Linked DNA regions of Schizosaccharomyces pombe. The gene in region 3 interacts genetically with the main gene of each other region. Each region holds a gene or a part of one and is shown on either strand. Other genes may lie near its edges. The genes, in order: arg12, pro2, pfd1 and SPOM_SPBC365.16.

Region 1 (6,128 bases), 1.3 Mb from region 3:
CGAGCTGTCTGCGATTGAATGAACTATATAGTATTGAGAGATTTTACAATTAAGTGTTTGTCTTTAATTTCTAATTGCGACTACCATCCTAAAATTTTCATTTGAGTTGAAATCTGTTTAACAACAACAGATGAGCCATATTTTTCATTGACTTTATACATGATTGTCACCATTAGTTCCTTTTTTTATAAAAATTAAATGTTGTTTAACTATTCTGCTCATTTGTTTTGCTTAAAAACTAAGTAGGTTTTAATTGGTAAGAATTTTACGAGATTTTAAATTTTTATTTATTTACTTATTATTTTTGACGAACGCTAGTTTCAAAAAAGCAAATCCAAACTCGAGGTATTTTCAAATTGTTTAAAATTTTCAATAGAATGGAAGGATGTTTTTTAATGCTTTCCACATCTTTGAATTGGAAATTTCCTTTTAATATTTACACTTCTTCCAAGAAAACTATAGCAATTTGTTTCATTATAACGACATAAGTTTGTAGGAGAAAAAGTGTGAGAATATAAAAGTTCCATAATAATACATTATTCTCTATGGATTAATTATTTTTTTTAAATATTTTTTTAAGTTAAAAAGCTGGTCTTTCCATCCATGTAAAAATTGGAAAAGGAATATCGAGAAAGCAAAATAAACCAGGCCCTACCTGCGGAAAGGGATTTTTCTTATTATTCAAGAATACTAGCAGCTTACCTCTAACGATTAAAACAATGTATATTTTTGTTTCAATACTATTTATTTATAAATTGAATAAGTAACCCAACTTACGCCAGGTTATTTTCGCATTTTATGTAAACGCTATAATGCGATAGAAATCGCTAATTTGTACTGGATTGAGTAAGTATGAATATCTGACGTGCCAAAAACCATGAAGCAATTTGAAGAACAAATTGAGTAGGTTTTTATGAATGTCACGTATTATGTATTTTTCTAACAAATTTAGAAGGTTTAAGCAGGCGTTATTTGAAGATTCTGATGGTAATTATTGTCAAAATGAGATTTATAATTTTCACTAACATCTCGTATAGCCTCGGATTCCGACTCTTCCATTGGAGAGGCACTTACAAATCGTGGATTAAAAAGAAAGAAAGGATCGAAAAATGTATATTATGGTTGCGTCGGTAACTCTAGTGGCTCCTCTATAGACATTGATGTATGTGTGAGTAATTGGGAATCGTAAACTGCTAACCACTACTTTATAGTACTATAACATTGGTAATACTAAAAGAGGAGTTGTCTCTCATTTTCGAAGGAGAATAGATCCGGAATGGTTGGACCATGATAACCCATATAACGATATAAACATAGCTGGTAAGTCGTACACACACTTAGTTATGTTAGACATACAATTTTTTTGATTCATTGTGCTTTTGGAGATTTCGTGTTGTGTTTTCAAAGATTGATTATGAATTGAATTGAAATATTAGTTATCAGCACTCGCCAATCATGGTCATATACATCGATCGCTTGCTAACTCAGTAAAAATTATAGAGATCATGTCACCGCTGACAAAACCACAAGACTTGCTCACACATCCTGCTATATCTTCCATATTTGAACAAAATTATTTATCAATCCTTGCTTCTTCTGCTCTTGAAATTATATCTGCTGAACACAAATATACTGCTCATCTCGAACAATTGATGGTTGCACTTTTAGGTGATGACCCATCACTACCAGGACCACCTCATGAAGTGTTTGGGATTTCTCCTGAACAGTGTAGAGAATTGACGATCACAGTTCAAGAAGCTTTGGAAAAAAGCAAGGAGTTTATTAGATGCTGGACAAACGTTCGCATGGACCTTCTTCGGGCCATTCGTTTTAAAAACAAAGTCATTGCTTACTGCCAAGGTGAAGACTATAATGGTAATACCCAAGTTTTGTCTAAAAATGAGAGTGATGGAAAACCAAATTCCTAAAATTTATTGATTTCTCATCAATCTTTTCAATTTCATTATTTTGAAGCTGATGAAGCGTATAAGTCAGCAAAATAAAACGTTGAGAATATTATTCTTTATTCCATTCGATTTACAATTCCTTTTTACGACATTATAAAAATAGAATTATCCTTTTTTAAAACGTCTTTGGTGATTTCTTCTGCAATGAAACTTAATTATTTCTTTTACTTTTTCATAACGTTGGGTTTTTTCTCAAGCTTGGCATCCCCAGCTATTAGAAACTTTGTCTTATAATTTGAGATACTGCTACTTACATATTCCCTTTGGCTATCCTAATTTCTATCCACACTTTTTTCTACTTATTCTTTCCAAGGGAAGTACGTTTACGTTTGCTGTTACATAATTTCATTTATCACTGTTGTATATTTTTTCGTTCAATCAACCGACTAACATGTGCTTGCCATTTGTATGTTAATACATTACTTATCCTTTATTTTGCTTTTTCATTTCCCCAAAGTATTAAAATTGTTATTTGTTGTGAAATTGCCCAACCTTCTTTTTGTTAGAACAATGTAAGTGCTTGAAACAACAAGATTACAAGGATTTATCGCAAAACATATTCAAGTAAACATCAATCTTTAAAAACCTGAAACCATCAGAACTATTGTTTGACTGTCCCTGATATGATTGTATCACTTTCTTCCTCAAAACTAAATTCAGACACACTAATCAATGCATGTGTGACAAGATATTTACGATTCCTGCATGTAATTTAACCGAAACCTGTTTTCACACATTTCTCAATTAAATTTTTGTTAAGAATTCCTATACTAAGAAAAATTTTCAGATGTGTGTAAAATTTCCATCGTTTATCTATAAAGATGGTTTATTGATGAGAAAGATAGTAAAAAATAGTGTCGGCTATATTATTACATCAGTGCGCTATCAGTTTAAAAGGTTGGGCCTACTAACTTAACATATACTACACCTCAAGAAAAAGAAAGAAATGCCCCAAGAAGTAAAACGTTGCGTTCTCGCCTATTCAGGTGGTCTTGACACCTCCTGTATCCTCGCCTGGCTTATTGAAGAAGGTTGGGAGGTCATCTGCTATATGGCTAATGTTGGTCAAGAGGAAGATTGGGATGCAGCCCGTGAAAAGGCCTTGAAGGTGGGTGCTAAGAAGGTTTACGTTGAGGACTTGCGTGAAGAGTTCATCAATGACACCGTCATTCCTGCTGCTCAAGCTAACGCCATTTACGAAAATGTTTATCTCTTGGGCACTTCTCTTGCTCGTCCTATCATTGCTCGCCGTCAGATCCAAATCGCCGAGAAGGAAAACTGTATCGCTGTCTCTCACGGTTGCACTGGTAAGGGCAACGATCAAGTTCGTTTCGAATTGGCATATTACGCTTTGAAGCCAGACGTTCAAGTCATTGCTCCTTGGCGTTTGCCTGTATTTTTCGAGCGCTTCGCCGGTCGTAAGGATTTGCTCGAATATGCTGCTGCTAAGGGCATTCCCGTTACTCAAACCACCAAAAAGCCTTGGTCTATGGATGAAAACATTGTACATTGCTCGTATGAAGCTGGAATCCTCGAGGATCCCAGTATGACTCCTCCCAAGGACATGTGGAAGCTCACCGTTGATCCCAAAGACGCTCCTGATGAGGTTGAAGAGCTCAGCATTCACTTTGAAAAGGGTGCTCCCACCAAATTAGAGTGCAAGGATGGTACCTTTAGCGGAGTCGTTTCCATCTTCTACCAATTGAACGCTATCGCTCGTCGTAACGGTGTTGGTCGTATCGATATTGTTGAAAACCGTTTCTCTGGTTTGAAGAGTCGTGGTTGTTACGAAACTCCTGGCTTAACCATTTTGCGTACTGCTCATATGGACTTGGAAGGTTTAACAATGGAACGTGAAGTTCGTGCTCTCCGTGACCAATTCGTTACTTTCAATCTCGCTAAAATTTTGTACAATGGACAATTTTTCTCTCCCTGCACTCGTATGCTTTTAGCAGCTAACAACGTTTCTCAAGAGGTAGTAAACGGTGTAGTTAAACTTTCTGTCTACAAGGGCAATGTCACTGTCCTCGGTCGTAAATCTGATACTGCTCATCTTTATGACGAGAAATTGTCATCTATGGATGAGCTTGGTGGATTTGACCCTACATGGACCTCTGGTTTCATCCAAATCGAGTCTATGCGTTTGCGTAACTCTGATGAAGGAAAACATTGGATGTAAATGCCAGGTCGTTCTCAATAATAATGTCATACTCACCATGTACTTGAGCCAAGCAATAATCAAATTTCTGCTGTGCAAATAAGAAGTATTATTTGAGATGGCTTCCTTTTCATATTCACATTTCATAGAATTACTCCGTTCATATCACTGATAAGTCAATTGAATATTTTTGTTGCAAAAAAAAAATAAATTCTGAAAACTGTAACTAATTGAAATTGAAGTTTTATATTGCAAACGCAAATTGTTAAGATGTTTAATGTACTCAATACTATGCTTTTAATTTAAAAAATATTTTACAGGCCTTTAGCCATTCTTCGTATACAGTCCTAAAATCAAGAATAATGTCGAAACCATCTTGAATGATAAATGAAATGAGGAACAAAAAAGATGAAAAATATATTACTAAAATAAAATTTTTTAAAGCATATCCATAACACTTTGTACTCGGTAATCTGAAAAAACAAAGAAGATAACGCTGCTAGTCAATGTTCAAAAAGATCCGTTATTGATAAACCAGTAAGCAAAGAGACAACCGATTAGTAAGAAAAAAGAAATTACAGCAAGTGTTTTGAAGAGGGCAAGGGCAATACTGGTAGTCTTATTTACAATGACCAAAGAGAAGTATAACACTATAATCAAAGTCAAGATATTAATAGCTGAGGGCAAGCTCAATCCTAGATTTCCATTGAACAATGATTTTAGGAAAGACGTTTCATATTTTTCGAAACTTTTGCCTACATTTTCAACGGTTTGAAAGACTTGATCAGGATTGGTATTTAATCCATGGTCCACAGCAAGTTTGGCGACGAAATTCCATAAAACGGATGTCAAAGACATTTTCTAAAAAGTTAAAATATGAACGGGGAGTAATAGAGATGGGAGTAGTTAGGTGTGCTTTTTGACTGAATGTTGACGTTGTAGGCGAATTTTACCAACGATTACATTTGCTAATAAAATATGTTAAAATAAAAATTGGAAGATGAGTTGAAATAAACGGTTCTATAAACAAAACTCATTTAAAGAAAGAACTGGCAAACAGATTATGTCAACATATCTCATCTAATATCGAGACTACTGATAAAAAAATCTAATTTGCTAATGACTACAAGCTTTTATTGTTTACTCTTTGTTGCTTACAGTTCTAGTCAAAGGAGGTATTTTATTTTCGTATTTCGCTGTACATAGCATAATTTCATGAAATGCTTTTCTCTATAAATATGCTTTTATAAAGAACTAGTTAATAAAAAATTGCTTATTTCTAAGCTCTTTTAGGATTAGTAATATATAAAAAGGAAGATAAGTATTTTTATCCCTTTTTAACTGGATTGTTATTACTATAAAAGAAAGACTCTTACGGTTGATAATAAAAGCGTAGAGATCAGAAGATAAAAGTAGAATTCACCGCCTATATTTCCTTTGGAATAAATATCCAACAGTATACTTACTATTATAGAGAGAAAATTAATTTCCCTTTGCCCTTTATCATATAAAATGGTTCTTTTTATGCTGAGTGCCTAGCATAATTCCTTCCTTTTCGAAATATCAAAAGGCTTGTGAGACTTCAATTGGTAAATGCTTTAAAGTGAGTTATTACTAGCTCGCTTCAACCACTTCAGCTTGATTCTCCAATAACCGAGTTTTCAAAAGTACTCATTCTTGCAATTGCTATAAAATTTTTATCTTTATTTATACCATTACCATTGTAATATTGTTATAAGGCATCGCTTTACTTACTGAACATAAAAAAAATCTTCATCATAAAATTAATTAAATGTCAGAATAGAAAAAAGTGTTTAGAGGGTCCAACCGTACAAACAAACAACTTTTACGTTTTTAACATTTTCATTTCTTCAATAACCCCACAGTTGTTTTAAGCTATTACTTAAGCGAGGGCTGCACATGACAATGTGGCTAGTATACCCTTTATATACATTTTGAATATGCATATGAAACCCATTATATTAACGCTGGAATAGCGGGAA
Region 2 (6,050 bases), on a different chromosome or scaffold from region 3:
AAATATAACACAATGCTTAAATTTGCCAATTTACGAACTTCAAAGATATCACATACGTGGATATAGACTTTTTGAATATAATAAAATTGATGAATAATTTGTATTTAAAAAATCAATAATTATCTATCAAAACTCAAAAATAAATTTTTAACTCCTAGCATGAATTTAAATATCTTTTAGGATTCTGCACGAACGGTATTAATTCAACCCAACAAAAGCACCACCCTCGAAATTAAATTTCCTTAATTGGCTATTGCTGTGGTTTTACATAAATATTATAAACTAACAAGAAAGATGTCATCAGAGGCTCGTATGTTCACCATTTCGGATACCACGATGAAAGAAATTGATCGATTTCGTTTGCGGTTGAAGAAATCAGTTATGTATGCTTTCATTCTCAAGGTTGATAAAGCTACTAAGGAGATTGTTCCCGATGGAGAAATCATGGATTTACAGAGTATTGAAGAGGTCGCAGATGAACTCTCGGAAACAAATCCTAGATTTATCCTTGTTTCCTATCCTACCAAAACCACAGATGGTCGACTTAGTACTCCATTGTTTATGATATACTGGAGACCAAGTGCTACCCCAAATGACTTATCTATGATTTATGCTTCTGCTAAAGTCTGGTTTCAAGATGTGTCGCAGGTGCACAAAGTATTTGAAGCTAGAGATTCTGAAGATATTACTAGTGAAGCAGTTGATGAGTTTTTGCATTAATGCTTGTTTATATGCGAGTTGAAAATGAACCTTTCCCTCGTTCACATTTTATGCAATTAATTATTTAAAGATATTTTGCTTGTATGGGCTTTCTTTTTGACATACTATACCTGCTTAGCAGCAGATGCATAAACCCTCAATAACAATTAGATTTAATGGATAAAAATTTATACACTTAGAAACTTTTTAAATACTATTTTTTTTATTTTCTCTCCATTACCTAAGAAAACCGCTCCATTTCATTGATAACACGTAACGTTTAAGAGTTCCCTTATTTGTATAAATTTATTTCCAAATCGGTAAAAATAAATTATTTGAAGATAAACAAAAAAATCGTTTTTGTATTATGCACAATTGTCCAAAGATCGTGCAACCCAAAATCTTAAGCCAAAAATTTCTAAACTAAAGCTTCCAAACTTTCCCAAACGGATTGTTTGATAAAAGTCCTTTGACTTCTCCTTGTCTTGCGCCATAATCAGCCTTCGGTCCGGCAATTGTAGAAACAAACTTCTGGCTACCGCAGACAATGCAAAGGGTATCCTTTAAAGGAACTGTAACATTATCCCAATCCAAAATGTCATGAATGTTTACCAAACGATTTTGGACGGACTTCACCCTTACGTTTGGGCATTCCTTTTCCAATTCTTCTTTTAGCAAAGGGGGCTGACCAGGCCTTGAGCAGTATACAATATCGACTGGGGATTTAACAGACTGAGCTAATTGATATATAGGAGCAATTCCTGTTCCTGCAACGATAGCTACGATTCTTGGGTACTTCGTACAATCGAGTTTGGTGGTTTTAAAAGGACCCCGAAGTTCAATAGTGTCCCCTTCTTTCTTAGAATGAATATAAGAACTAACGGGACCCTCTTCATACTTTCTAATAAAGAACTTTAATTCATTGGCATCCAAGTACAAAGGGGTATATGGTCTCTGGACTTGCATACTGGGATCACGAATTGTTACCTTAGCAATCGGTTCCAAAGTAGTAAGGTGTTCAGAAGGGCTCTGAGGAACTAACGAAAACAAGCTAGCATCGGATGTAAGCTCTGTAATTTTATTAACTGTAAATGGAGCATAAATTTCGGGATTAAGTCCTGGGGGCTTATTCGAATTTTTATAAGCATAATAACCACCTGCGCAACCAATAGCAAGACCTGCAGCTAAGATTTTAGGCAATTTCCTGTAAGTCGAGCTACTCATTGTTTTCTTTGTAAGTTTTACTGTATCAAGGGGAGGTTGGAATTGCGTGTACTTATATTCATCGTTTATGAAAGCCAAATCCAATCACAGGCTTCGTAGGAAGTATCCGATATAATACCAACAAAATGTACTTTGTTAATTACACAACTCAGTACAAAACGTCTGATTATTATCTAAGGTTAATAGTTTTTTAACAAAAATAAACAAATCTTAATAAATTTTCTAATAGATATTTATGGTTCTGTTTTTGTATATTAAGTTCGTAAACCTTCCTTCTATAACAAAAAAATTTCAATAACAGTAAGCCAATAATAAAGGTAAAAAACAGAGCAAAAACAAATTTTAGTAGTTCTAAATAAGCTAGTGATTAAATATATACATCAATGCTCATCAGAACTAACTTGTGAATCATGATGAGAATTTAAACCATGAACTACTAAATAGTCTCTGTAGGCGACATATTCAGTTTCGTTATATCCTAAGATGGATGCAATTTCTTTGCTTCTCTTGCCTTTAATCAAATCTATTTCAGTACTGCTGTAATTAACAAGGGCTCTGCCAATTTCCTCTCCGTTGTAAATAACCGTAACTGCTTGGTGAGCTGAAAAATGGCCATGTACTTTGGTTACACCAACTGGTAGTAATCCTGCTCTATTTGTACGGGTTATAGCCTCGAAAGCCCCACGATCAATTTCCAAACTCCCATGTGATTTAAGGCCGTGCAAAAGCCAAAAGTGTCGATCACGGATCCTTCCTTGCTTTTTGGCTACAAAGTGGGTATGCAGAGGTAATTCAACTGACTCATTTTTATTATCAGAGGATTCCTGACGGATTATATCGAATATACTCGAAGGTTTAGAACCACGACATATTATAACATTTACGCCTGAAGACGTTCCCAAATCTGCAGCGATCAATTTCGTCTTCATTCCCCCTGTTCCAACTCCACTACCGGGTGTGGAAACGTTTGCATTTACCATTGATGTATCATGAATTTTTAAAATAGGCTTAGCGTCAGGGTTGGTACGTGGGTTGTCTGTATACAAACAATCAACATCTGTAAGTAAAAACAAATAATCTGCGTTTATCATGCCAGCTGTAATTGCCGATAAAGTATCGTTATCACCAAAACGGATTTCTTGAACAGACAGAGTATCATTTTCATTTACAATGGGAACTACCCCAAAATGTAGCAACTCGGAAATTGTGTTCGCTGCATTTACATATTGGGATCTCTAAATATTAATAGTTAGTACCCGTCAGTAATTAAAATAATTTTTTAAGTGTCAACAATAATTATCTGAATCTTACCTCGGCAATGTCGTTTCTAGTGATTAAAACTTGCGCAATAGGCTGACGAAGTTGTGTAAATAAGGTATCCCATAAGGAAATTAGTCTTCCTTGACCGACCGCGGCAATTGCTTGTACAGCAGAAAGCTTTGAAGGACGCTTAGGTAAATCTAATCTACGAAGGCCCATTGCAATACCACCACTTGAAACCAAAACGACATTATGACCCAACTTTCGAAGCTTGACAACGGTTTCAACGATTAGTGACAAATTTGAAATTAATGGTTCATGAGTCTTTTCATCACAAATTGACGATGTGCCTAAAATAATGTTAGCAAAGCGTTTGTGATGCCAACAACGAGCAAACAAAGAAATACATATTTGAAAAAGTGAGATATAAAATTCATACATATGCTTTTGTATAGCTTACTATTCCGTGCTTACCAAGTTTGATGACAATTGTGTAAGTCTTATTTGTGCTTTTCGACTTCGGAGACATTTTAAAAAAAATCTACAAAGTTACTGTTGAAATTTATTTTTTAAAAAAAGGATAAATTTTAGTGGAATACGACTTGTCTTCACCTTTACAAATCAACGGCCCATCTAGTAGTGGTAAAATAACGGAAAGCCTTATAGCCCATTGATAAGGAATAATTATATGTAGGATTTGGATTTCAATTTTAAGGATAAAAGCCTGTTAGAGTATATAGCTGTTGAATTTACCTACAACGTTCTATTTAATATTAATTATTGTCTTTAGTTTATCATATACGTAGAAACTAAAAAAGACACAAATCATTAATGGAGAGAAAATCTATTTTTATAAGTACATAAAAAATTGTTAAAGGGTAATACTTTAACCTACATATTCCTCAGTATTTATCGAAAATATCATGAAACTGTTGATTTATTTATAAACCTACGGTCATAAGATTAAGTTTTTTCACCTATAACGTAGCAAACATTTCCAAATCACTAGTGATTACCAGGAAGGAAGGAATTTAGAATGTTAAGGCGAGTTTTAAAATCATCAGCACTGGCCAAAGCGATGCTCTTCTGGCGTAAAAGTTTAGACAAACGCTTAGCTTCTTTATGTACCCAATTTTCATCATTTAAAATCTTCTCAAAAACCTTCTTGTAATACTTAGTCCATCTAGATGAATCCTCTAAGGCTAACTGCTTGACTTTTTCAAGAACAACTTCCTTGGCAGCGTTTGACATATCCAAAAACTCAGCAGCAAATTCATCGAAAGTTGGAATACGGCCGGCAGTAGAAAGTAAAGTGCCATCGGGAGAACGTTGAGTTCCAGATTTCTTATTAATGTACTCGATCAAAGATTCTAAAGAACGATCTCCTTCGTATAATTCAGGCTTATCTTTATCATCTTTAGGAAAGAATTTGATGGTGGGAAAGCTTGCAACTTCATGTAGCCTTCCGATGTCAGCAAAGACGTCTGCATTAATTTTAACAATCTCAACGTTTGGTTCGTTTTTGAATACCTTGCCAAGAGTTTCGTAAGTAGGAGCCAAACGCTTGCAATAACCGCACCAATCCGCATAAAATTCAACTAAAACATCTTTTTTATCGTCCATAACAACCTTGTCAAAATTCAAAGAATCGAGCTCAACTACATTGCTAGGGAGGACAATCTTGCGTTTTTTGATACCAGTTTTCTCAGACACAAATTGAGTCAAACTGTCAACGTCGCGAGCATTGGAGTACTGAACTGGTTCAGATCCATCAGGAGGAAACCAGATCAGTGTTGGAAAACCAGTAATGTGGTATTTATCAGCAACATCGGAGTGTGTATCCGCATCAATTTTGCCAATCAAGACATCATTGTGGTCTTCGAAAAGAGCGCCAAGTTCTTCATACACTGGCGCTAAAGATTTACAATGTCCACACCAGGTGGCGTAAAACTCAATCAATGCTCCTTTTTTAGAAGCTCGGATAGTATTCTCCAACTCATTGAGACTTTGGAGCTCTACAACACCTGATGCAAATACAAGCGCAAAAAGCGCAAATATAACAAAACTCAGCAGAGGTAATCTCATTCTAAGTATTCTACTTTTCCAGTGTCCACAAATACGGGACAGGTACAACAAAAGTATGTATATGTCGTTGGGTAATGTAAGCTGTACGAAGCCGGCTGTGTCATGTTTGAATGAGCTTACTGAGCATCGTTACCCATGTTACCTATCTATAACAAAAGGAATATTCACTAAATTGCACTATTTAGTAGCTTCATTCGTCACTGTATTCTTTATTCCACACTTTGGTAAGCTTATATCGCTAGCGCATCCATGAACGCATTTTAAGACCTACAAATTATTGATTGAACTATTATACAAGAAAGCTCTAGTGAACCTATGTTATTAAGTTCAGTTATTGCTGTTATTACAGTACGTTTACTTGTCAATAGTAAAAAACTACCGTGCTCGGGCGTATCCCTATATTCAAATCAACTGAGGGTTAGCATTCAGAAAGCTTTAAGCAGTAATAAAAATCACAAACAAAAAAAGTGAACATTACAAACAATTTTTTTTCTATTTACAATTGATTTGAGGTTTATTAATCAAAATTAATATTAATTTTAGAATTGAGTAATGAATTTGATAAAACACATATGATCAAGAGTGAGTTGTTAATCGACCTCGAACCCCCACCAGGAGGTAGTACTACTTAGTAGTTTTAAAAAAATTCCCCACATAGGCCTTTGAAAGTTAATAATAAACAAAAGACCCCCACATAAGTATTTCAATCCCACTTAAAATTTTGAAGTGTTAGTAGGTAAAGCAGAGAATGCTTTAAATTGGCCAACGAGATTGAAAGATGC
Region 3 (5,579 bases):
GATAGAGTACCCGAGGCGTTGGTGTCTACTTCCAAAAAGCATTTAGTAGCAGCTCGAGATGCTCTTCGTGGAAATGATGATATTGCTCTCTTACACAAAGTACCTTCGCTTGATACCGACCCGGAAGATGCCGTTTTAAAAGATGGATTTGATTGGTACATTTCTCCATCCGATAAAATTCGATATTCCGATATTTACTCCCTACATTGCAATAAACACGGAGAAGTATCTTTTAATGGCCTGGCACCTGTATTTACTCCTTTTGGGGTTCCCAACTCTCAAATTCAGAAGGCTTGGAAACTTGTCAATCCTCAGGGTACTGAAACCATACAGAAAGATCAGTGTTTAGTATTTTTGCACATCCTTACTCAGAGATCCAACGGATTCCGTATTCCTAATGATGTCCCGTACAGTTTAAAGGCTAGTTTTAAGAGAGGAAATATCGATTATAATTTAGATTCCTACAACTCTACTAATAACTATTACTCTTCACCTACAATGGCTCCATCTACGGGTGGTGCGAAGCCGAAGAGTGATCTTGATGCCCCGAGGGATGTGAGAGACTCTGACTGGGAGCTGATTTCATTAAGAAATGAGCTGTCCAAATTGGACGAAAAGATTCTTTCCCTTCAACGTGAAACTGACGATGTTAACATTGCACAAAATAAGTCAAAGCTTATTCAACGTGATTTACAGAAAGTACTTGACTATAAGTTGGGTATCCTTCAATCTCTAAAAAATGATGGACCAAATGGCCCCAGCGCTTCCGCCATTGATAATGACTTAAAAATGCTGGAACAACAACTTAATGTTTTGGGACGTCACTTGGAAGGTCGGAAGTCTCAAGTGGCTAAGCTAGAGGAAAGGCTTCGTAGTCTGTCTTAACAAAATCTCGTTTATAAAGCTCATCATCTCAAATACTTGAGTCTTTGGATGTTTTCTTGGAAAATCGACGAAGGTACACTCTTTCTTTCTTTCTTTATTGGGCTTAATAAACTGTTCAAACAGGAAGAGGGAATTGGATTGTAAAATCATTCATTAATGTCCATCATTATATTTTTTGGTTTAATCGATACAAAACTTTTGAATTAGTATAAAAGGAGGAACTTATTCAGCTTTTATAATAAATACTCACTCTCTTTTTATAACAATCTAAAACCTCCTTGAGGTAAATTTATTACCCTGCTGTTAAGAAGAAACACAAGCGAATTCAGAACTATCAACTGGGTAAGAAGAAAAGATAATATAATAAAAACAACAAGCTTCGATTTATAATCTTCTTTTTCTAAAAAAAGTGCACACTATAATGTCTCCCAAAGCCTTCGTAACTCATACGCGTTTCATGAAAAGGATACATCCACAATCCTATTGTTCGTAAGGAGAAAAAATTGAAGAATTTATGCAAAAGAAAGCTCCCTTGTGATTAATATCGTTTACGGTTTAAGGACGACGCTTTGAAAACAACCGTTTTGATGCCCAACCTACAAGAGCTGCAACTGACACCACTGCACCAGCTACCACAACCATTCCAATGTATCCTTCTAAAAACGGGTTAGTAATGATTCTTTTCATTATTTATAACGCATCTTTCTAACATAAACACAACATTCATGCATATGTGATACCTCATTAAGTTTTATTAAAATAAACATACCTTTTGTAACAGCATCGTAAAGACGGTTTTTTAGCTTTAAAGCCTCTGGGCTATTTGGATCTTTGGATAACAACATATTGAGATAACGACGGGATTCTTCATACTGCTTCAATTTGTAATGGGACAAAGCAATGTAGTAGAGGCATTCCAAACGCCTTTCCGGTGAATCTTTGTAAATGCTGCAGAACAAAGATAATCCCTGTTGTACATGCTGTGTAGAATCTGAGCGTACCAATGCCCAAGCAAGGTTAAATTTGGTTTGTAAAGTAATCAGAGGTTGTTCTGCATCGTATTGTTCCTTGATTTGTAGAAACTCATCAACAGAAATAATTGAATCAATAGCAGAAGGATCAGCGAGGCGAAGGGTGTGTTTTTCAGTCATGATGTCGTTATTGCTTCCTATATTGGTCTTTGAATGTGCCTTAATTATTTTAAAGGCGGATTAATATAAATAAACGGAAAATGTTGAAAAAACTACAGTCACTTGAAAAAAAATTCAACAACTCAAATATAAAAGAAGAAAAAAAGGGTTGAGTATGATGCAAAAATGCTAAATTATCAATGTAAACAGCCAATTCCAATTATAAAGGATTTGAGGCGCAAATGAGTGAACTACAAGGATAATGGATTTCCAAAGCAATAGAAAAGTCCAGAAATCCGATTTAGTAAGAATATGGATATGCTTTTTCCACAAAAATTTGAAACAGAGAAGGAATGAAATGAAGATTCGTTTGTGAACGCCATCGCCAACAATTTATGTAAGGAAGAACTTAAGGATATGGCAAAACATTTCACAAAATATTTATTACAAATTGTGGCGTATTATGTAATTCACATTTGCGAAACGTACCGATAATAAAAGCAGTGTAAAGTAGCTTGTAACATGCCAGCTTTGTACTTAAGGCCTAACCAACATTTTGCCTAAGACTTGATATACTTGTAAAGGTGGTATATTCAAATATATTGAAAAAGTTCTTGATTTGTCTATAAAAAAAGTATTAAAAGGACTATTCTTTGTACCATAATTTTGGAAAGAGCAATTCAATCCAAAAAAAATAAGTTCTTGAGATATACCCAAGTTTCCTTTAAATAATGCAAAATGTACGTATTTCATCATTGAGAAGAGAATTATTTTGTTAGGAATTTCCCTCTTTTTAACTGTGTTACATGGTAAACTAATGAGCTTTGGGCATATTAGTTAGCTAGTCAAATACAAGAGAAAGCGGTTGATTCACAGCAACAACTGAGGACCATAATGGTACAGATTGCTGCCAAGGAACGGGCACTAAAAATAAGTGAATTAGCCAAAAAAGAGTTAGAGGATGTTGGAGAAGATAAGGCCGTATATACTTCTCTTGGAAAGATGTAAGTGTCATAAAATGAAACATGTATTTTTATTTTCTTTTCTATAAAAATAGGGAAAGAATACGGAATTAGCAAAAACAGCACTTTTGGAATGGAATTGACCGTACTGTCAATCTATATGTAAAGTCATTTACTAACTGTTTATTTACAGGTTTATGAAATCCGATTTGGCTTCCGTACGTACACATTTGGACGCAGAAATGGCAAGTTTAAGAGAAGATATTGAAGCACTACAAAAGAAACAAACATATCACGAAACAACGGCCTCAAATGCTGAGCAGCATTTACAAAAGATAAAAGAGTCGATTTCTTAAAACATCAATTATAATCATCTCATTGGTAAATTGGATTATGGGATTGGAAAGTTTATGACTTTCTTTTTTATCTTTAAAACTGTAGAATTAAAGTAAATTTGTTCCATTAATCTTCTTGCATTTCTAACAAATACTGGGGCATTTGTGAGCCGAAATTTTGATCACTGTGACTGCGCTTTTGTGTATGGATACTTAAATTTCAAGCTTGAAGACTTGTGAATTTAGTATATGTTATACTTTTAAGGTAAGTTTTCTACTGTTAGAATTGACGTTTGGAAAAGTAAATGGAGAAAGGATTTCTTTGATGATTCCAAAAAAGCATAGTTCAACTGAGCATCGTATGCTGAAACTTTTTCCATCTGATTTGCACGTCAGTCTGAGATTTCTCGTTCCCTTTTGTTTCTTTCTTTTTCAACGTCTGTTTGTCTGACTTTTGTGTTGGCTGTTTTACTGACCCATACTTTAAGGTGTTCTATATTTTTTCAAGGATATCATTAACTGTGTGGAAGCTGTTTTGTTCTCCATTAACTTCTGATTTCTTTTTGAGAGATGCACAAGGAATAGTTTATAGCTTACTTATAGTTTATGAATAAAATTATCCGAAACGAACTGTCACTAATCATTGTTTAACAAAGTATGTAGTAATGTATTAATATTAACTATGGCGACAATATTAGGACTTGAAGGTCTCTCATATCAGATGTTTGTTTCTGAATTAAAATAATAATTCTATATACGAATTGTGAAGTTGCCGTTAAATTATGATGGTAATTTGCTGTAGTTCTAGTTAAAGTCATTAATGTAGATCCTGCAGTTCAACTTTTTGATAAGATCTGCAGACAACTTTATATACAATAAATTTAGCTAAATAAAAGCAAAAAGGATTAAACACCATCGGTAAAAAAAAATAACTTTATTAGTTTATGGTCTATTGTACCCATACACTGATCAAGAAGTAATTTAAACATATAACATAAATTTTCACCTATGAAAGCAGTCTAATAAACACAAAATAACATTACTAATTATATGCCAAGAAGTTTAAAAAAAATTTAAAACAAAAAAAAAAAGAAAAACTGAACAATGGAACCTCAAATGTCGAGACTCATGATACTAATAAAAAATTTAATACTTAATTTATAAAATAGCATAACACACAACCAAGGTGTTTAGATGGTTTAAAGGAAGCAAAGGTAACTAGCGTTCACAGCGCAAATATTGGGTTAGGGCTTGGTCATAGGAGTTAACGGCCCTATTGAAAATGCCGGTGTGGTGGTGGAATAGGAAGACGACGCCGACTTTGTGGATGAAGAAGGAGATGGCGGTGATCCGGCCAAAAGGTTGCTGACACTCACACGCGAAGAAGAGGAGAACTTGCGTGATCGTCGATTCGATGATATACGGACTGGACCAACATTCGACTGGGATGCAGGTTTGTGAGGCATGCTGCTATTAACGTTGGAGAGCGAGCTCAGAGAGACGGACGATGGAGTACGAGAGACAGCACCAGAGGCTGGTGTAGACGCGGAAAAGGCGTTAGGATCACACTTCAAAGGAGGAATTAACGGAACTTGAGAAGGTCGTAGAGAAAGCGAGCGGATAGAAGGTAATTGAACGCAAGATGGATCATCCATGGGTCTCAAACGAGGAGAATGTGCCGGTGTAACGAGAGGTGTGACGTCTGGGGTGGGACTAAAGCTCCTAGTGGAAAAGGTAGGACTACTCGGTGCAGTGCTGCAGGGGGAAACCGGGCGAGAGCGACGCTGGTATCGGAAATGGGCAAAATCACTTGACGAAGAATCATCATCAAAGCCATTGGATACGCTGGGTCGAGAATAAGGCAAATAGTTGTAATGGGCATAACGTAAAGACTGAGGAGCGTAAGCCGTAGTACCAACGCCATACATTGAATGAAGGCTAGTACTACTGTTAGATTTGCTAGGCAGATAGGGAGTCTGCATAGACGAATTACTATATAAAGAGTTGCTCGAGCCATTAGTATACTTTGTAAATGAACCAGTGGATGAGTTAGAAGTTAAGCCTCTATTGGGAACCGATGCGAGATGATTAGGAGAAGTATTGGATGATGATGGCAGACTACCTACTACATTCATCTGCTTCGGTGGGGAAGGAGCATTAGATAAAGGCATTAAATTAACACCCGAAGACTTTGTAGGAGTGATTCTAGGGGCAGCATCCAATTGATTAGCAGCCGCTGAAGCCAACAATTGCATCTCGTTCATGGA
Region 4 (6,832 bases), 770 kb from region 3:
GAGATCCAAAGAAAACCGCGGCAGTGAGCTTTTCGGCCTCCATCAACTCGACAATACTGTCGGTAGCCACGACTCGCCTCTCAGGAGCCTTTGGCTTGTTGAGAAAATTGTTATAAATAAAGTAACACAAGCTAAGGATCAAAATAATGACCAGCAATACATATTCATAAGTCTTCATAATGCAAAAAATATAATAACCAAATTTTACGAGTGTTCAACTTCGGGATTTAATCCGCCTTTTATTCCAAGGGTAAATGTGCGTGTAAAAAACGAGTGAGTCAACAGAATTGTCTGATGATAGGCAGATGCGAAATAAAGAGCGAAACAGTACTATGCTTTTTTAGCTTGAACCACTTTGAAGCAGATACACTAAAGCGCGAGACAATAAAAATGAAGAAACTCAAACAAGGGTTTCTATAGCCTCTTAAACAAAAAGTCAAGTATTTATCCAAATACTCTAAAGAATCTATAAAAATCAAGATGAAGTATGTAGGCTAAGATACTTAATTAATGAAACAACTGCGCTTTATATGATGAGCACAATAACCATGCCAATTGAACAATCAAATAGATGCTAGAAAGCTTCTAAAGTAATTGACTTCAAAAAGCAATCCTTTCGGGAGAAAAGCTAATTGTTTTGGCAAACGCTAATACCTGGTCGCTGGTAACTCCTGCACCTATATACTGCTATAATATAAAAAAAAAAAATATAGTTCGATTTTTCAATGATTACTTTTTGAAAATTTCTATTAATTAATAAAAAACTATTTAATAAATTCATGTATTAATTTTGGTTAATTAGCATGTTCAACGAAGTTAAAGTTTGACAGATATAGATATCCAACATATGTAGTAAGTATGGATGGAGAGATAAAAATGGGAATGGGAATGAGAGTATTTTTAGATAGAAATAGTGTGACGGCAATCGTACAATAGTTAATTTATTGTGGCAAGCCATCGCAATAACAAAATACCTCGGGAAGAGAATTAAGCGCAATACGAAATTATGGTAAATCGGCGATTCTACTAGTAGGTGTTTATTGTTTTACTAATTATAATGACGATCAGTAAAAAGTAGGTGAGCTTTGAAAAAACCGTTGCTATACACTTTAGGATTTATTTTGACGAACCAATTAATATGGCTACCGTAGTACGGTACATTTTGAACCATTCAGTAAGCTAGTAGATAGGAATAAGCTATCGTCTTTCTGGTCAACATTGGAATGCAAAAAGAAATAATCTCACTCTGTTTATCGGTTTTAGGTTTCTACCGAAAGCCCATTCAAAGACCGTAAAACACTATCGGCAAAAGCTGTTTGTAAACGAACGATAAAAGAATAAATTTGCTAAACAAGCGGTCTTTACGGTTGCTCGTTTTTTGACATACACAAATTTGATACTCAACCATACTAAACACAAACGAAAATGACTTAAAATAGAATTCAAATTTTATTTATTAATGTACAAAAGAAAACCATGTGTCTCTTTGCCTCTTTATTTTCTCTTGCAGTTTTTCTTTTTTCTTCAAATTCTTCTCCAGACAAAGAAAAAACTCAGACGCATAAAAATCAAGTAGAAAACTTTTTTAAGTGAAACCTTCATTACACATACACTATATAGTTCATTCAAAAAAGTATGCAGCTTCATGTTCCAGATAACAGGATGTATGCCACTTTCCTTATATAGGTTTAAACCGTAGTCCACACACTTTTTAGACACTATTCAGTAGTGAATAATAAAAAAATGATGAAAAATAATAATAATAAAATAATAATAATAATAATAGCCGAAAGAAAAAGGAAAGAACGTCATGTATGGACTAAGCAAGAGCAAATTGTTGTTTTTTCATAGTACGTTGTTGAAGCGAATCCAAATAAGTGGTTCGTAATTTACGATTAGTAACACCGCCAATACCAAAAGCCGGAAGAATCCTAACCATACGGGCGAATGTGCTTTTTAGTAAATGCTTACGAACTTGCATAACGCGGTTGGCTGCTGATATGTTAGGTCCACCTCTGTTATAAATGTCAAGGGACAGGAGATGAAGAGGTGTGCTAATAAACTGTACGGCACAGGGGGTGAGCAATTGAGCGGTGATTAAACCACCGGGGAGTAATGGAGCAATCATAGGAGGTATGTTGAAGGAAAAGGCGATGGTGAGTGCATCACGAAGTCCATAAAGACCGTAACAAGACCAAGGGAGAGGACGAGGAGAACCGGTGCCCCAAAATTTGGTAAAGAAACTATCCTTCAAGATGGATAAACCGCTGTTTGCAGCGGTGACAGAACAGAATTTAAACCAGCCGGAAGTTTCCGCCTTGAAGACGGGATTCTTGTGACGAATGTTATCCAGTGTGTCTATGGAATTGGCCGTCATATATGTGCCCGAGTATAATGTAAAGACCAGGGCAAAGGGAGCGCTAAAAAAGAAGGCGCCTGGCTTTGATAAAACATATTTGATGGAGCGACTAACAGAGCGTAATAAAGTAGAACGGCCACTAGTATTTTCGACGATTGAGCGGTCGATCGTCAAGATAAAGGGAGAAATCATGGCACTGGCGGCTGTAGCGGCAAATGCATCGATGCCGATCCGCTTCCAGGTATTGGAGGGAACGGGTTTGGGGGACAAAGGGGGTTGACTATTAAGAGCCATGTTAAAGTCAAAGAGTTTAAAAAAAAGATTAGAAAAGATAAAAAATAAGAATAAAAAAACCAGAAAAGATAAAAAAAATATTAAAAACTTTTTTGTGAAAATAATAAAACAAGCCAAGCAAAAGGTCTTTAGGTATCTATTTTTCTCTCTTTTTAAAGGTTTAATCTAATTTATACAACGTTAAAGCTGAAAAGAAAGAGACGATTGCGAAAAAAAAGCAAAGCCAAAAATAATTTTTCTTCAAATAAACTGCACTTCAACAAATGCAATGAAGGAAAAAATTTAAAACGTTAAACACGAATAGTATAGGCTAACGGGGCAGATAGTACAGGTGAGAGGAAATGTCACCAAAAAAAGACAATTAAAAAGATGCTGAGTAAAAATGAAAGACCGAGAAACGACGACAAGACCAATTGAACAACAAAAGTAGTAGTAGTAGTAGTAGCAACAAAAACAAGTAAAGAGAGGGAAACCAAGTAATTCACACTTTGGAAATGTATATATTCCTTTCTTTTCTTTTTCTAAGTAAAAAGATATATATTATATCAACAAAAAAAGGTAAACCCGAAATCCTAAAATTATTATAAATACAAAAAACCAATAATAACCACAAAGTCCAAGTTAAAGCAAAACCACTTGGATTGTAAGAAGGAAGATTGATGGTGGTTTAAAAAAAAATAAGACGATGATTGGGATTGTGAATAAAAAAATTCAATTCAATTTGATTCGTATCGTTAAAACTGCTTCGCTCAATCAAAACTAACAGTAACGTGAAGTAGGCGATATAGGGAAAAGACAGAACGATTTCCAAAATAAGAACGACAAGTGACTAAGCCGTTTCTATAGCAAACAAAGGCTAAGTTTACAAGGGTTGATCAATCAACGGGTGGAAATGAGGTATATCGATGCAATGATAAGACAACCTTGTCCAACAATCCAACTAGCCAATGAGAAAACAAAAGTCAGACAGCCCACCAAATAGCAGGTGAACGAGTAAAAAACAATTAAAACAAAGGGTTTGATTCCACGCTTTGAGAGAATTATCCCGTACGTTTGAGATGGGGAAAGGATGCGTAAAAAAAGCGGTGGTGGTACTGTGGTGGTTGTAGTAGCGGTAGGAATGGCAATATCAACAACACTCTTCAGTAACAAATAGTACTGGGCAAGCAGCAGTATGAGTATGGGATAGCAGTGAGTAAACAAGAGTGTCTAAGGACTTTAAAAGATATTGCTCGTAATAGTTGCTAGTTGTTCCCAGTTACGCTGGTTCCTATCCTTCTTCTCGTGTCGTAATTGGATCAAGTGCTTGAAGAGGCGAGCTGGAAGAGAAAAAAGAGCGAACGAAGCACGTTTTATATCAAGTTGGCATCAATTTTTAGTCTTAAAGATTCTGTGTTATCTTGCGTTAAACGGGTCAAGATAGGGTGATGATCCCCTTAATTAGCAAGACCGAACAACTTGGGACAACTTGGGATAACGGACTTTTGCAAGAAAATTAGGTGACCCAACCTGGTATCGAGGTAACAGCATCCGAGGTAAAACCGAATATGAGAACAAGTACCGACGAGCTTGAAGGGCGGCAGCGGGGCAAGCAAAAAGACAAGGTGGAAGATGCTGTGTTGAAGTATAGGAGGAAGTGAGATGAAGATTTTGTATTGAGATGTGTTGACGCTGTCTAATAAAGGAAGGTTGCTGACAAATAAGGCATGCTCTTGATTGTTTTATTTTTATTTTTTATTTATTTTTTTTTGTGGTTAATTGTTTTTTTTCTAACTCACTTACTCATCTAATCATTTTTTCTCTGGTCCTTTTTCTCTAGTTCCTTTTTTCCTCTAGTCCCTTTTCTCCTCTAGTCCTTCTTCTCTAGTGGTCTTCTCATCTTTCTAGTCTGGTATTTACTGTTTCACATGCAATAGTTCTAGTAGCGATGCAGCTATTCATTGCAAGCGACTATTCCTACAATGTAAACAGTGTAAACATTGTAGAGAGTCGCTGCTCAAAATCTTAGAAACGGCTAATACTCTTTTCTACTCTTGCTTTTTTGTTGATTTCTTTTCTATTGTTTTCTTTACTTTACTTTCTCTACTTTGCTTGTCATTGCTAGGTCTAGTCTTGTCGGGCGAAACAACCCAACAAGAGTAAATTTTCAGATGGTGACGTTGAAGACTGAGATCCTCGACATCAAGATTTGGGTGTGATAAACGAACGGACCCTTAGATGGATAGCGTATTCACACCCTAAACCCGAAACATAGGGTAGCGTTTTTAAGGCTGCCGAAAGGCGAGTCTACTATGGCCCCTACGGTGGATAAGATGGATAGTGAGTAAATCCAAAGGGTATTTGTCAAGCAAAAAAATAAATAAATAAAGCAATCAATAGGTGGTGTTGCATTCGCTAGTTTGCTTCATTTATTAATTATTACATTCATTAGTTTTTTATGTTCGTTAGATATTAAAAGATCATCAAACTCATCCTTCCTCTTATAACGTCTCTTTTTCTTTTTTGTTTACTCTTCACACTCTTGCATACTTTCATAATTTTTCCAACAAAACTTATCTTGTCAAAGCTCACCAAATTTTATCTACGAAATAATCTTTCTCTCTCTCTCTTCATTATCAGTTAGCTACATTCCATTTTCCTTCTGTCTCCCTACTTTCTCCCACCCCGATCATCCACCTATCCATCATCCTTCATCTACTACTGCTTACTATCCGTAATCTATAAGAAGTGTTGGCACTCACTAATCCTCTGAATTTACGGATACTGCTCTTGAACTCGTTATCGCTATGTTTCGAACGGCGACTCTCTTCCTAAACACTTTCTAGCAGGTGGTTTCGCGATCCCAATTGCTAAAACACTTTATTTCATTTTCCGTCCCCTGCTGCCAAGGAGAATTTCGGATCTAAATCGACGAGGAAGAAGAGGACGGTATTGCAAAATTTGAGAGATATTTACGTTTGTATGAAGTTTGAAGAAAAAAAAAAAAAAAAAGAGGATGAAAATTTTTCTAACATACAATCTTTCATCAAATCCTTAAACTTGTTTTAGTAGTACGCTTACTAGAAATCCTTTTTTAAATTTTTTTTTATTAATTACCTAGTATTTAGCTTTTTTTGTTTTGCTATTTTGGTTCTCATATTTTTTATCTTTAGTTCTATTTCTATTCTATTTGTTCTCTTCTATCCTTTCTCATCATTAGTCAGATAAAATAAAAATCTCTCAATTCAAATATTTCGATTTCAATACATTCGGCTTAAAATGTTTCATTCGGTTCGAAATGCTCTTTTATATTCCGTTCCTTGTTATCTTCCCCTTTATTTCATCTTAACTTACTTATCGTGTCCATTTGTAATCTGTAAAGTATATTTGCTAGTTTCTAATTATTTCTTTCTCCCTCTCTCTGTTTCTCTTGTTTCCTCTTACATGGTGGGGGATTGATAATTTTGGGCAATCCACTGTGAGATAAGTTTTCGTTTTTCTTACTCCTTGATGCGATAATTCTAAAGTCATATGATTCCTTTGCCTCACACCCAGCTATCGCCCCCATACTTAATCATACAATCTGTACTCACTTTTCATAGTAACTCTATCCTTTCGTAATAACCATCCTACACTAATCTAAATTGACGTTTTCCTTCGATATTACAATTTTTGTATGCGCTTTACTAGCTTACCTGTTCCTTTGTTTACGCATCCATTAAACTTTTAACTGCAAAATACAATTACTAGAAATTCATTACGAGTGCACACAAATGAATAGTTTTGCGTATACAATACTATAACCACCTAAATTAAACCTTGGTTTGGTTTTTATATACATACATCATCATCATTACTGTCGTAGCAACTGTACTTCTTCACATAACAAAGTTCATTACTATAGCTGTCTATGGTACAAACGTTAGCATACATTGTATCACTTCAAAATCAATCGATAGCTCTTTAGACTAGGAACAAATGCTTAGCCTCTCTCTTCGTTCTTCCTCAATCACGCGGCATACTGCCGACTTGCCTTAAATTTAGCGACATAGCTAATAAAAAATTAGCGATCAAAAATCCAAGTTACCATTCCTCAGGCATTATCAGCAAACCCTGTTTCAGACATTTTAAAAAATCGATTATTTTTTATATAACACAAGTGTTGGCATATTAAACGCTCGCCATGCCTTTCTCCATAAT

The links.
Region 1: mutations in pfd1 (region 3) and arg12 together harm fitness more than expected from each alone (negative genetic interaction), as found in Schizosaccharomyces pombe (one large-scale study listed by BioGRID).
Region 2: mutations in pfd1 (region 3) and pro2 together harm fitness more than expected from each alone (negative genetic interaction), as found in Schizosaccharomyces pombe (one large-scale study listed by BioGRID).
Region 4: mutations in pfd1 (region 3) and SPOM_SPBC365.16 together harm fitness more than expected from each alone (negative genetic interaction), as found in Schizosaccharomyces pombe (one large-scale study listed by BioGRID).

Annotation. Positions count from the first base shown.
Region 1 is NC_003423.3:447,789-453,916, reverse strand, and holds arg12 (argininosuccinate synthase), read left to right. Parts: upstream 1-2,891; 5' UTR 2,892-2,913; coding exon 2,914-4,146; 3' UTR 4,147-4,477; downstream 4,478-6,128. Other genes in the region: Clr6 and Rpd3L histone deacetylase complex subunit Rxt2, read left to right, coding at 878-903, 953-987, 1,038-1,162, 1,212-1,320, 1,501-1,928; nuclear membrane organization protein Apq12, read right to left, coding at 4,636-4,983.
Region 2 is NC_003424.3:2,025,041-2,031,090, forward strand, and holds pro2 (glutamate 5-kinase), read right to left. Parts: upstream 3,828-6,050; 5' UTR 3,713-3,827; coding exon 3,658-3,712; intron 3,534-3,657; coding exon 3,235-3,533; exon of another isoform or gene 3,159-3,234; coding exon 2,304-3,158; 3' UTR 2,168-2,303; downstream 1-2,167. Other genes in the region: actin regulatory protein gmf1, read left to right, coding at 295-720; cytochrome c-heme-linkage protein Cyc2, read right to left, coding at 1,123-1,923; ER protein disulfide isomerase Pdi2, read right to left, coding at 4,189-5,268.
Region 3 is NC_003423.3:1,754,264-1,759,842, reverse strand, and holds pfd1 (prefoldin subunit 1), read left to right. Parts: upstream 1-2,584; 5' UTR 2,585-2,746; coding exon 2,747-2,755; exon of another isoform or gene 2,756-2,852; coding exon 2,853-3,019; exon of another isoform or gene 3,020-3,170; coding exon 3,171-3,333; 3' UTR 3,334-3,577; intron 3,578-3,620; exon of another isoform or gene 3,621-3,721; intron 3,722-3,800; 3' UTR 3,801-3,942; downstream 3,943-5,579. Other genes in the region: actin cortical patch component End3, read left to right, coding at 1-885; protein Fis1, read right to left, coding at 1,441-1,541, 1,655-2,036; DNA-binding transcription repressor, glucose sensing, Scr1, read right to left, coding at 4,557-5,579.
Region 4 is NC_003423.3:2,526,809-2,533,640, reverse strand, and holds SPOM_SPBC365.16 (uncharacterized protein), read right to left. Parts: upstream 3,975-6,832; 5' UTR 2,654-3,974; coding exon 1,820-2,653; 3' UTR 1,427-1,819; downstream 1-1,426. Other genes in the region: ccr1 (NADPH-cytochrome p450 reductase), read right to left, coding at 1-178.